Linked DNA regions of Danio rerio. The protein of the gene in region 1 interacts with the protein of each later gene in a pairwise test. Links are inferred from orthologs where the notes say so. Each region holds a gene or a part of one and is shown in the gene's direction. Other genes may lie near its edges.

Region 1 (5,081 bases):
CAGCCACGTGTTAAAAGGCACCTATTTTACCCCTTTTTCAAGATTTAAGATAAGTCTTTTGTGTCTCCAAAATGGGTCTGTAAAGTTTCAGCCCAAAACACCCATCAGATTTTTTAATATACCATTCAGAATATTGGAGTTTTCTGCTCTGCTCTGTGGGGTTTTTTTGTTGCCTGTGCACTCAATGATTATTTTCTGTATTTGTTGCTAAGTTAATTTAAGCCTTTCTGCAATGATGAGTCATACACAATGTCTTTATAAAGTTCACACACACACACAGTGAAAAAAAGTTACTGTAACTTTGCACTTTTTGCACGGCAACTGTGACAGGATACACGCTAATGTACAATATACAACGCTGAATAGATATCTGATATATTATTTGTACAAAATAAACCTGATTTAATGTCCACAAATTAGGATTTACTTTAGAAATTTATTGATATGCAGCAGTGGTGATAGAGACGGAAGAATCACTCTAATTCATTACAAACATGCAGTTTTGAAAAGTTTTAAACTTGTAAAACTCATTCTTGATCACTTGATAATGACTTGATAATGATTGATAATTACAGCGAGCAGTAACAGTCCCAGTTGCTTTGAGCACACCCTGTCTTGTTGATATAAAACCCAACAGTCAAATATCAAATGAAATGAGTGTAGTTAACTCAAAACTTACTGAAAGTTAATTCTACTTATTTGAGATATTTGAAAGTTTTGAATTCAGTGTTGAAGGCAATGAGTTAATTACGTACCTCATTACTTCAACTTAAATGGAGTAAGTTAACAGTACTCACACAGATTCGTTGTGCAGAGATCGGTTTCCTCAAACGGTTTGAGTTACCTTAACTTATTAGGTTTTACAGCTCTCAGTTGGTTTGAGTTTTCATCATTTATTGGGTTTTACTTTTCTCAAATTGAACTCAAAAACTCAAATAAATTAAGTTTAAAGTACTCAATAGGATTAGTTTTAGAACTAAAATGGTTTGTTTCAATCTGTTTGTTGAGTTAATTTATTCGGTGTTACAGTGTACGCGTTACTACAGAGACATGTTAATGCGCAGCTGTCAATCAATTAGGTGGGTGGGGAAACCACACTTCTTCTTTCAAACCAAAAGCATGGCAAAGTTGCATAAGCTATCTACTATGTCCCGTGAATCAATTCCAAATAATTAAATCAAATCTTCTATTGCACTCAATCTGTTCCACATACCAATTATGTGCACCTCTGAGTATAATGTGACCACCTGCTGGCACAGGGATCATACCTTGCAACTTTTTGTGAGAGACATTTCAGAGCATATTACTTTGGTGCAGATCCTGAATCATTTCTATTTCAACCGAATACACTGAAAATGAATGTGACTGAACAGACAGGTAATGGAGGAGAAGAGCAGGTTTTAACTGGTGGTGCAAGTATAGGGCTTAGTGCTGGGGATTATTATTGTGCCTACTGTAGCCATGATATGAAAGCAAAGTTCCTTGAATTTTGCTCTGGATTTAGAGTATAGTTCCTAGCCTGGAAAACAGCAACTTTTCATTTTAATTTTTGGTCATAGTGTATGATGTAACTACAAAAGAGTCAAGCTTTAAATAGGGAAACTTATGGAAAATAGGAAACGCTTGTCATTTTTGATTGAGAAGCTAATGGTCTGATTCTATTCAGAGATCTATTTTAAGCTAAACCGAGCTAAAAGTGTTCCTGCCAGACCCAGAGATGGGGTGAATAGATAAAAAATTGGTAAAACCAAAAACTCAAGTCAGGAGCCTCATGTTATTTTGTCTTTGAATTCAGCATACTTGAAACCCATGCTGTGAAATATTACCTTATGGCCACAAAAGACTGACTGGCTATTCAAACTCTCTTCAGTGAAAGCAGCCAAAAGTGAGCCAGGCCTCTGCACATTGTCTGTAGGTTACCACAGTAACCCTTGTCAACCAGGAAGTCCTGTGGAGGTGGAGTGAGTGGGAGAGGGAGAGTGCATGTGTGTGTCAGTATGTGAGAGGGACTTAACAGAGGTTAAGCAGACGGGTGCAAAATCCAGTGGGGAAGGGAGAGAGAGAACTGACTGTTAAAGCAGACCGAGACAGAGAAAAAAAAAGAGAACAGAAAGAGTACAACTTGAAAGGTTAATTTCTACGAAGCAGACCAAACAGCACTTTGAGAATTGTGTGTGTCCTGGGAAATCTGTTTGTGGCAGTACTGTCAGAACACACCCACACAAACTGGTGAGTTCACATGTCTTCCATCTAACAACCATAATCTTGTTACTGTAAGTTTCCTAATGTAAAATACTGTTTGTGCACATAAACCAACTTATTAATTAATTCAGTTTTTTTTTTTTGGTCCAGCTGTGGCAAGGCAGGTTTGTGCTAAATGTTGTGTTAGTCACACATTACTGCTGAAGTTGATTCTTAACTCTCTTTGAAAGGATTAAAGGTCTTTGGTGGGATTTTAATTTCAAAGCAGTGGGAAATAGTATAAATCCAAATCCAAAATCTGTATTCTTCTGGGTGAACGGGGATTTTTCTGTAATGTGGTTTCAAGATTTGATATTTTAGATTTTATTGAGACAGCTTGGTTTGTTGGTTTGCCTGTTATAAATTTGCCTGTTAAGAGTGGTGTAATTGTGTTTATTTTATTAAAATAGTTGTACTATGACCTTGAAATAATTAGGTGTTTTTTAATGAATTAAGATCCACAGGATAGAAAAAAAAACAAACTATGAATTATTTTGCACTTTTATTCTAATTTGTATTATGATGAAATGTTTTAACATAAAAATAATCATTAACCTAAACAAGCATTTAATTATTGATTTGGGATGTGTAATCGTTAAAATTATGTAAACCATAAATATTACAATTATTAAAAATCTTGTATAAATACAGTCTAAATTTGTATGTATAGTGTGTAGGTGGATTTGATTACTCTCTTTGTAAGAGTGTTACATAATAAAGATTTGTCTGAAATACATTATTCTGATTGGTCAGTTGTGACATTGCAAAGTAAGTTATTCCAAAATTACAACCACAGAATAAAACTGACCAGCTTTGTTTTTTGAAAATTTGGGGCCATCTTGTGACTGAATAATGTGCTGGTGTGTATATGCTCCATTCAGCTTCAATTAGCCGTTTTTGCTTCTGTCAGCTTTGTGTTTATTTAAAGATTTAATTAACTATTACAGCTCAGAACAGTGCTTTGTGCTTATTAGTATTTTGGCAAGAAGCCATGTGATAACTGAAATAAAGTATATGCAGCAAAATATTTTGCAGAATAAAGCCCCTTTAGACTTATCCAAACTAGTTCTCTGTAACTCCCTCATGGTCACTTACTGAAGCGACAGTAGGCAGGGCTGCGTCTGATCAGTAACTGGATGGGAGACCACAAGGGAAAACTAGGCTGCTGCTGGAAGTGGTATTAGTGAGACCAGCAGGGGGCTCAACCTATGCTCTGTGTGGGTCCTAACGCTCCAGTATATTGATTTGGACACTATACTGCTCAGTGAGCACCTTTTGGATGAGACGTTAAACTGAGGTCTTGACTCTGTATGTCAGGGGTGTCCAAACTTGGTTCTGGAGTTTAGCTCCAACTTACTGCAACACACCTGCCAGGAAGTTTTTACTATATATAGTAAGAGCCTGATTAGGTGGTTCAGGTAGAGCTAAATTCTCCAGGACACCGGCCCTCAGGGACTGAGTTTAGACACCCCTGCTCTATGTGGTCGTTAAAAATCCCATGATCCCATGAAAAAGAGTAGGGGTTTTACCAAGGCATCCTGGTTAAATTTGCACAATGGTTTCTGTCCATCTTGGCCTCCTAACCATCCCCATAGAACAATTGGCTACATCACTTGTCTCCTCTCCACCAATCAGCTGGTGTGTGATGTGTGGTCTCAAAATGACTGCTGGCGCATCATCCAGGTGGATGCTGCACATTGGTGGTGGATGAGAAGATTTCCCACAAAAAATATGTAAAGCGATTTGATTGTGTAGAAAAGTGCTATATAAATGAAAAATATATATATTGATAGGGACACTTAACTGCTCAGTGAGCGCCTTTCGGATAAGACGTTTAACTGAGGTCTTGACTCTCTATGTCAGGGGTGTCCAAACTTGGTTCTGGAGTTTAGCTCCAACTTACTTCAACATACCTGCCAGGAAGTTTCTACTATATTTAGTAAGACACTAATTAGGTGGTTCAGGTAAAGCTAAATTCTCCAGGACACCAACCCTCAGGGACTGAAGATTTGACCCCAAAAATGTGTAAAGCAATTTGAGTGTCCAGAAAAGCGCTATATAAAAGTAAAAAAAATAACAACCCTTCATGTTGGGCTGCATTTTTTTCAATTGGTGATGAAAACAGATAAAGTTTTCAAATCTGTAAAAGGTTTTTTTATTATTATGAATATACATAATTACTACAAAACAGTGCTTTTCTATAAATTGAAGAAACAGTGAATGCTTTCTGATGATGACAGAATGTCTTCTGTTGACATCACTGAAAAACATGGTAGAAAAAGAGCTGAATCTTAGTGAAAACTGACCTCACAATCATGAGAAAAATATCGGCATATAACTTGAAAATGCTACTTTTAAATTATGCAGCTCTGTTTGAAAACAAGTGTTTTTTTATCTTTATGAAACAAAAGTAAAGTATAGACTTTCCAGTCTGTCCTCATTTGCTTTAAAGACTTCCTACCATTCAAATGCTAATCACAACCTTGTAAACACCCCAAAACACAGAGGACACTACCATTTTGAAAAATAAATATAAAATATATAAGAAAATATTAAAATTTCATTCAAAGAAATGCAACCTTGGTGAGTAGAAGAGACATTTTAATAAAAAAAAAAGTGGAACAGTGTAAAATTACACTTTTGGTTAGTGTTGTTGCAGTTGGGAAAACTAATGTTTGTTTTGGTAATTTATATTATTGAAAACAAAGCTGAATATAATTATATAGATATTTTTGTTTGTATACACTGTCAACTATAGTTCTTAAAAAAAATGTGAAAAATCAGTATGGCGGTTCATTCTGCTGTGGCGACCCCTGATAAATAGAGACTAAGCTGAAGTA
Region 2 (4,373 bases), on another chromosome or scaffold:
GGCGTACCCTATTTCTAAAGTAGAAACACACTTCCCCCCTACACATGACAAGTGGATGCAGAACATTTTTTACTGTATCAGACTTGAAAAGTTGAGATGCTCACCCTCTGGCTCACTAGATTTCTTTTATAGACCATTTTGAAGGATGTAAACAAAAACAATGGCCCCAACGTATTTCCTGTTTTACATTTTTTTATTTCTTTAGCTTTCGAGAATCCAAAAAGAGCCACAAATTGATAAATAATGCTATGATAGCCGTTTTAACATTAAGTTATGATTGAATTGCCTATTGTTACTGTCACAGTGTAAAACTAAGACACTGTGACAAACAAACACACATCACATTGCACTCATACATAAAATACACACTTTTAAACATGGGCCTTTGTTTTATTTGTATTGTGCATGTGTGTTTGTGTAATATGTATATGTTGTTTTTCTGTCAAGATTAGCATTGTGTTTATGTAAAAATTTCACTTATGTCGAACAATAGCCCATATCAACACTGAAATAACCACAGACACATTTTCTTTCAAACTTCATTTATTAACCAAACATAGAGAGTTTACATATACTTACCAGTTTCCTTTTCTCAGCTACAAACCTCTTTAACTTTATAACAAAGCCATTTATACAGATTTTTCCCGCCTTCACTTTGGAGCAGCCATTTTCCATAACATCATCAGGGTCACAACCCCTGGTCAGTAAATAAAAATCAAAGTTTTGTTGTTTAAATTTGTATTGGTTATTTGTTGTGTTGTATTTTGAGTTTTGTATGCATATTCATTTACTTGCATTAATTTATATTTCTGTTGAATGTCTTTTTATGTATTTTTTTGTCTACATGGTAACCCACTACCAGTAAAATGGTTTAACCCATGGGCGGGGCCAATACAATAAAATGGCCCCAAACATTTACTTGGTGTGATTAGTTGTAGGAGAAGGTTGTGTTTGTGTCAGTATTGGTAGCAGATTTTGTTCAGGTCATTTACTTGATTTAGCTGAACAAGCCTGTACAAACATTGTAAATATTGAATAGTTTATTTTTCTTTATTGTTATTTTGCCACTTTCACCTTTTTTTTGCTGGATTTTTGTTTTCACTTTGTATAAATAAATCACTCTTCACTTTCACCAGCGGCTTCTATGACACTTCTTTACCTCCATCCACCCGGTCAATCGTAACAGTTACAGTTATGAAATAGTTAGATAACAAGCAGGAAATGATCATGGGTCAATGACATGACACATGGAAATGGTCTATAAGACTAGGGATTCCTTTCTTGACTACATCAAAGGCCGGCCTATTACACCTGGTGCTGGCAACCATTTACCATTTTTATTTTAGTTTTTATTTATTATTATTAATATTATTATTTTAATTATTATTATTTTTTCCCATCTGTATCCAGTTATTCTCTGATTTCATGTTCTTATGTATTTTAATGTACTTAATTTGGTATTTATATATTTATTTATTGTTGTTTTGTTAATTGAGTTAATGAATGAGAGGTTGGGGAATGGGATTAACAATGGACGTTACATTACTGTTTACCTCTCAATATTTTATTTGTATTGTCATACAAAAGATCAATAATTACATTTTTATAGTGAAGGACTGCCAAGTCTCATTTTACATTAGATTTGTAAATATTTGTGCTGGCATTAGGACTTACCAGACAAATATAAAGCACCCCCTCCCTCTTAGAAAGCTAGTTTAAAGATCATTTTAAAAATGTATGCAGCAGCAATCCCCTATACAAATCACCCAAAATATTCTGAAATAGGGAATTCTTCTCAAAAAGAGTTCTTCAATCCATCTGGTGAAATATATTACATATTGCAATGCATAGTGTTGAGAAACAAAATATAACAATGTCAATTTTTTTTTCCAATAAGGCGCAACCCTAATACACTGTAAAAAATGCTGGGTTTCACACAATGTATTTATGTTAGGGCAATATGAAGGAATTAAGTTACCTTAATCGTTTTTTTTTTTTTTTTTTTTTAATATAGGTGGATTGAGCACCAAACAATTAAGTTGCCCATCCAAATAAACCTCAAGAATAGTATTGTTTTGGCTCAATTTAAATAAGGAGTTTGAACAAACAGCAAATATTACTTTGGTAAATCAATTTAAATAATTTGAAAACATTGACAACCTTCATTATTTTGGTGGAAACTGTTGATATTTGCCTGGAATTGCTCGTATGCAGTAATAAATGTTGTTGTCGTCCTATTTGTTGTCACACTAGGGTTGCATTCGGTCATATTCAGATTCCTCTTCATCATTCGTGGCACCTGACCTTAACCTTCTCTTCTGTCTACACTTCCATTGCTTTTATTTTGTACCATCTCCTCCTTCTCATCCTGGCTCTGAACCCTCCCTCCTGCTCTCTTTCCAGACGATATAGGTGGGCCGCAGCCTGGGCCTTTCCTAGTGAGCGTAATGGGGGCATCCCTGCAGTCTCTCCCTCTGCCTCTTCCTCCTCCTCCCCCTCTCCACGCCACCATCCAGCATAGTCTCAGCCTCAATGGTAAGACTTGGGTGCCGTGGAGGGGCTCGGGGTGTTTTTGGGCATCTTTTCCGGTTCTGAGAGCAGAACTCCAACCTCCCCTTCCCTTTCTGTGAACCGTCTCTCTTTCTGCCCTCAGAAGCTTCTTTATTCCGTGAAACGCAAAGGGAAATGGAATAAAGTGCTCATGTAATTGTTATATTCTTGAGAAAGCAAAAGGCAAAGACAATACATGGCACCTAGAGCATGTATCACTTTGCTTAACAAAGGCTTTGGTTTGACCGCATGGTTTCGTTTCTCAGTTATTTTCAGAGTGTGGAGGAAGGAGGCTGCGTGTCTGTAAAAAGAGGAAGTGTGACTGAGAGGGTGCCTTAAGCTGTGTTTTAGTTCTATTGCTTAAAGGTACCATAGAATGCATTGATAAAATCACTGATAACTAAATAGAAGGTATGTGGCTTTAGTAAGTGCAGAAATTCATTTACATGTCCATTTAAAACCCTAGGAGTTGTCACTAAAATTAAATGGTCTGTTTTTACCATTTGGATGGATCAAGAATGTCGATGAGCTCTGCTCTGATTGTCTGTTTCATGGCGGTTTATACCGCAAACAGATATCTACTGTCTGGTGTGAATGCAGGAGCTGTGATGCACTGTAATACTTCAAAATATATTTGAAAGGGAACCTATTGTGCAAAAATCACTTCTATAAAGGGTTTAAACACCATTTTCTGGCAACAGCCTAAATATAAGCTTCTAAAGATAAAAATGTATTAATTACATTTTTTATAATCGCACATGATAAAAACATTCTGCGGAAACACTCCATTTGTATGTGTCATTACAGGGGGAAACCCCCGCCCATTAGTGACAATCTCTCCCTAATTAGCATAGGACATTAGTCTTATTTTTGAATCTGCCACTATGCTGACACATAGGCATTTGTAGCTCCGTCCTCTTTTGAAAAAGCACAATCTAATTTAAATTTAAAGCAACAGTCACCAAAATGGCACACTTAGCATCAAATCCTAAAAAATGGCAAAGAGGTATAAAACATTATTTATTTGGTATTTGGAGCTGAAACTTCACACACTCTAGAGAAATCAAAGACTGATCTCACATCTGTGGTTTGGTCCATTTAGTCCAGACCAAGTGCAACAAATTATACATTGTAGCATTTTTCTGTCGCTTTTGGGTCCTTTTAACACCACACTAATTGCTTTGGACCAAACCAGTTGAAAAGAACCAAAATGCACATCACTCATTGGCCAGATGTTATTAAACATATTTCCTGAACTACTTTTCAATTGGTAGGAATTAACGTGCGGGAAGTAAACAAATCGGCAGACACAAAATGTTGCTTTTTAATATGGAGGGACGACTGCGCTAGTATAGTATACTATATAGTTTGTGTACATCATTTTAGACAAACTATATATATATGAGCAATGTCACACAAGTAGCAGTGCAGTGCTGATATACAGCCATATCTTGTGTGATATTACGTTTATACAACAGTTCAATGGCACAATTGTGCATATAAATAATAAAATCAAACAAAGAGAGTCTACAAACCCTTTTTTATTAGGAACTACTTTCTTCCGCCATTCATTCACATCTGCAGCTGATGTCAGAACAGCAGAAGCCAGTACTTTAGAGCTAGTGTTTGACTATGTCTAAAGTGATCTCTTTAAGATTATAAGGCTGAACATGACATGAAATGCCATCCATCTACAGAGATATCTTCTTAGTGTTACAGTCTACAGTATTTCTCTATTGCAATCAGGATTTCACAATAAATAACCCCGAAAATAACAACAAATTCACTACCAGCATGCTGTTGTGTTTGCGATAAGGAAAAAC

Evidence for each region. The genes of interacting proteins can lie anywhere in the genome.
Region 2: the proteins of sorbs3 (region 1) and socs7 interact in binary tests that used the Homo sapiens proteins (3 or more experiments, as listed by UniProt). The link is inferred for Danio rerio from reciprocal best matches to the Homo sapiens genes SORBS3 and SOCS7.

The regions. Positions count from the first base shown.
Region 1 is NC_133183.1:45,280,347-45,285,427, reverse strand, and holds the start of sorbs3 (vinexin), read left to right. Parts: upstream 1-1,955; 5' UTR 1,956-2,229; intron 2,230-5,081. UniProt on the Homo sapiens protein: Vinexin alpha isoform promotes up-regulation of actin stress fiber formation. Vinexin beta isoform plays a role in cell spreading and enhances the activation of JNK/SAPK in response to EGF stimulation by using its third SH3 domain.
Region 2 is NC_133186.1:12,501,698-12,506,070, reverse strand, and holds part of socs7 (suppressor of cytokine signaling 7), read left to right. Parts: intron 1-2,403; coding exon 2,404-2,535; intron 2,536-4,373. UniProt on the Homo sapiens protein: Substrate-recognition component of a cullin-5-RING E3 ubiquitin-protein ligase complex (ECS complex, also named CRL5 complex), which mediates the ubiquitination and subsequent proteasomal degradation of target proteins, such as DAB1 and IRS1.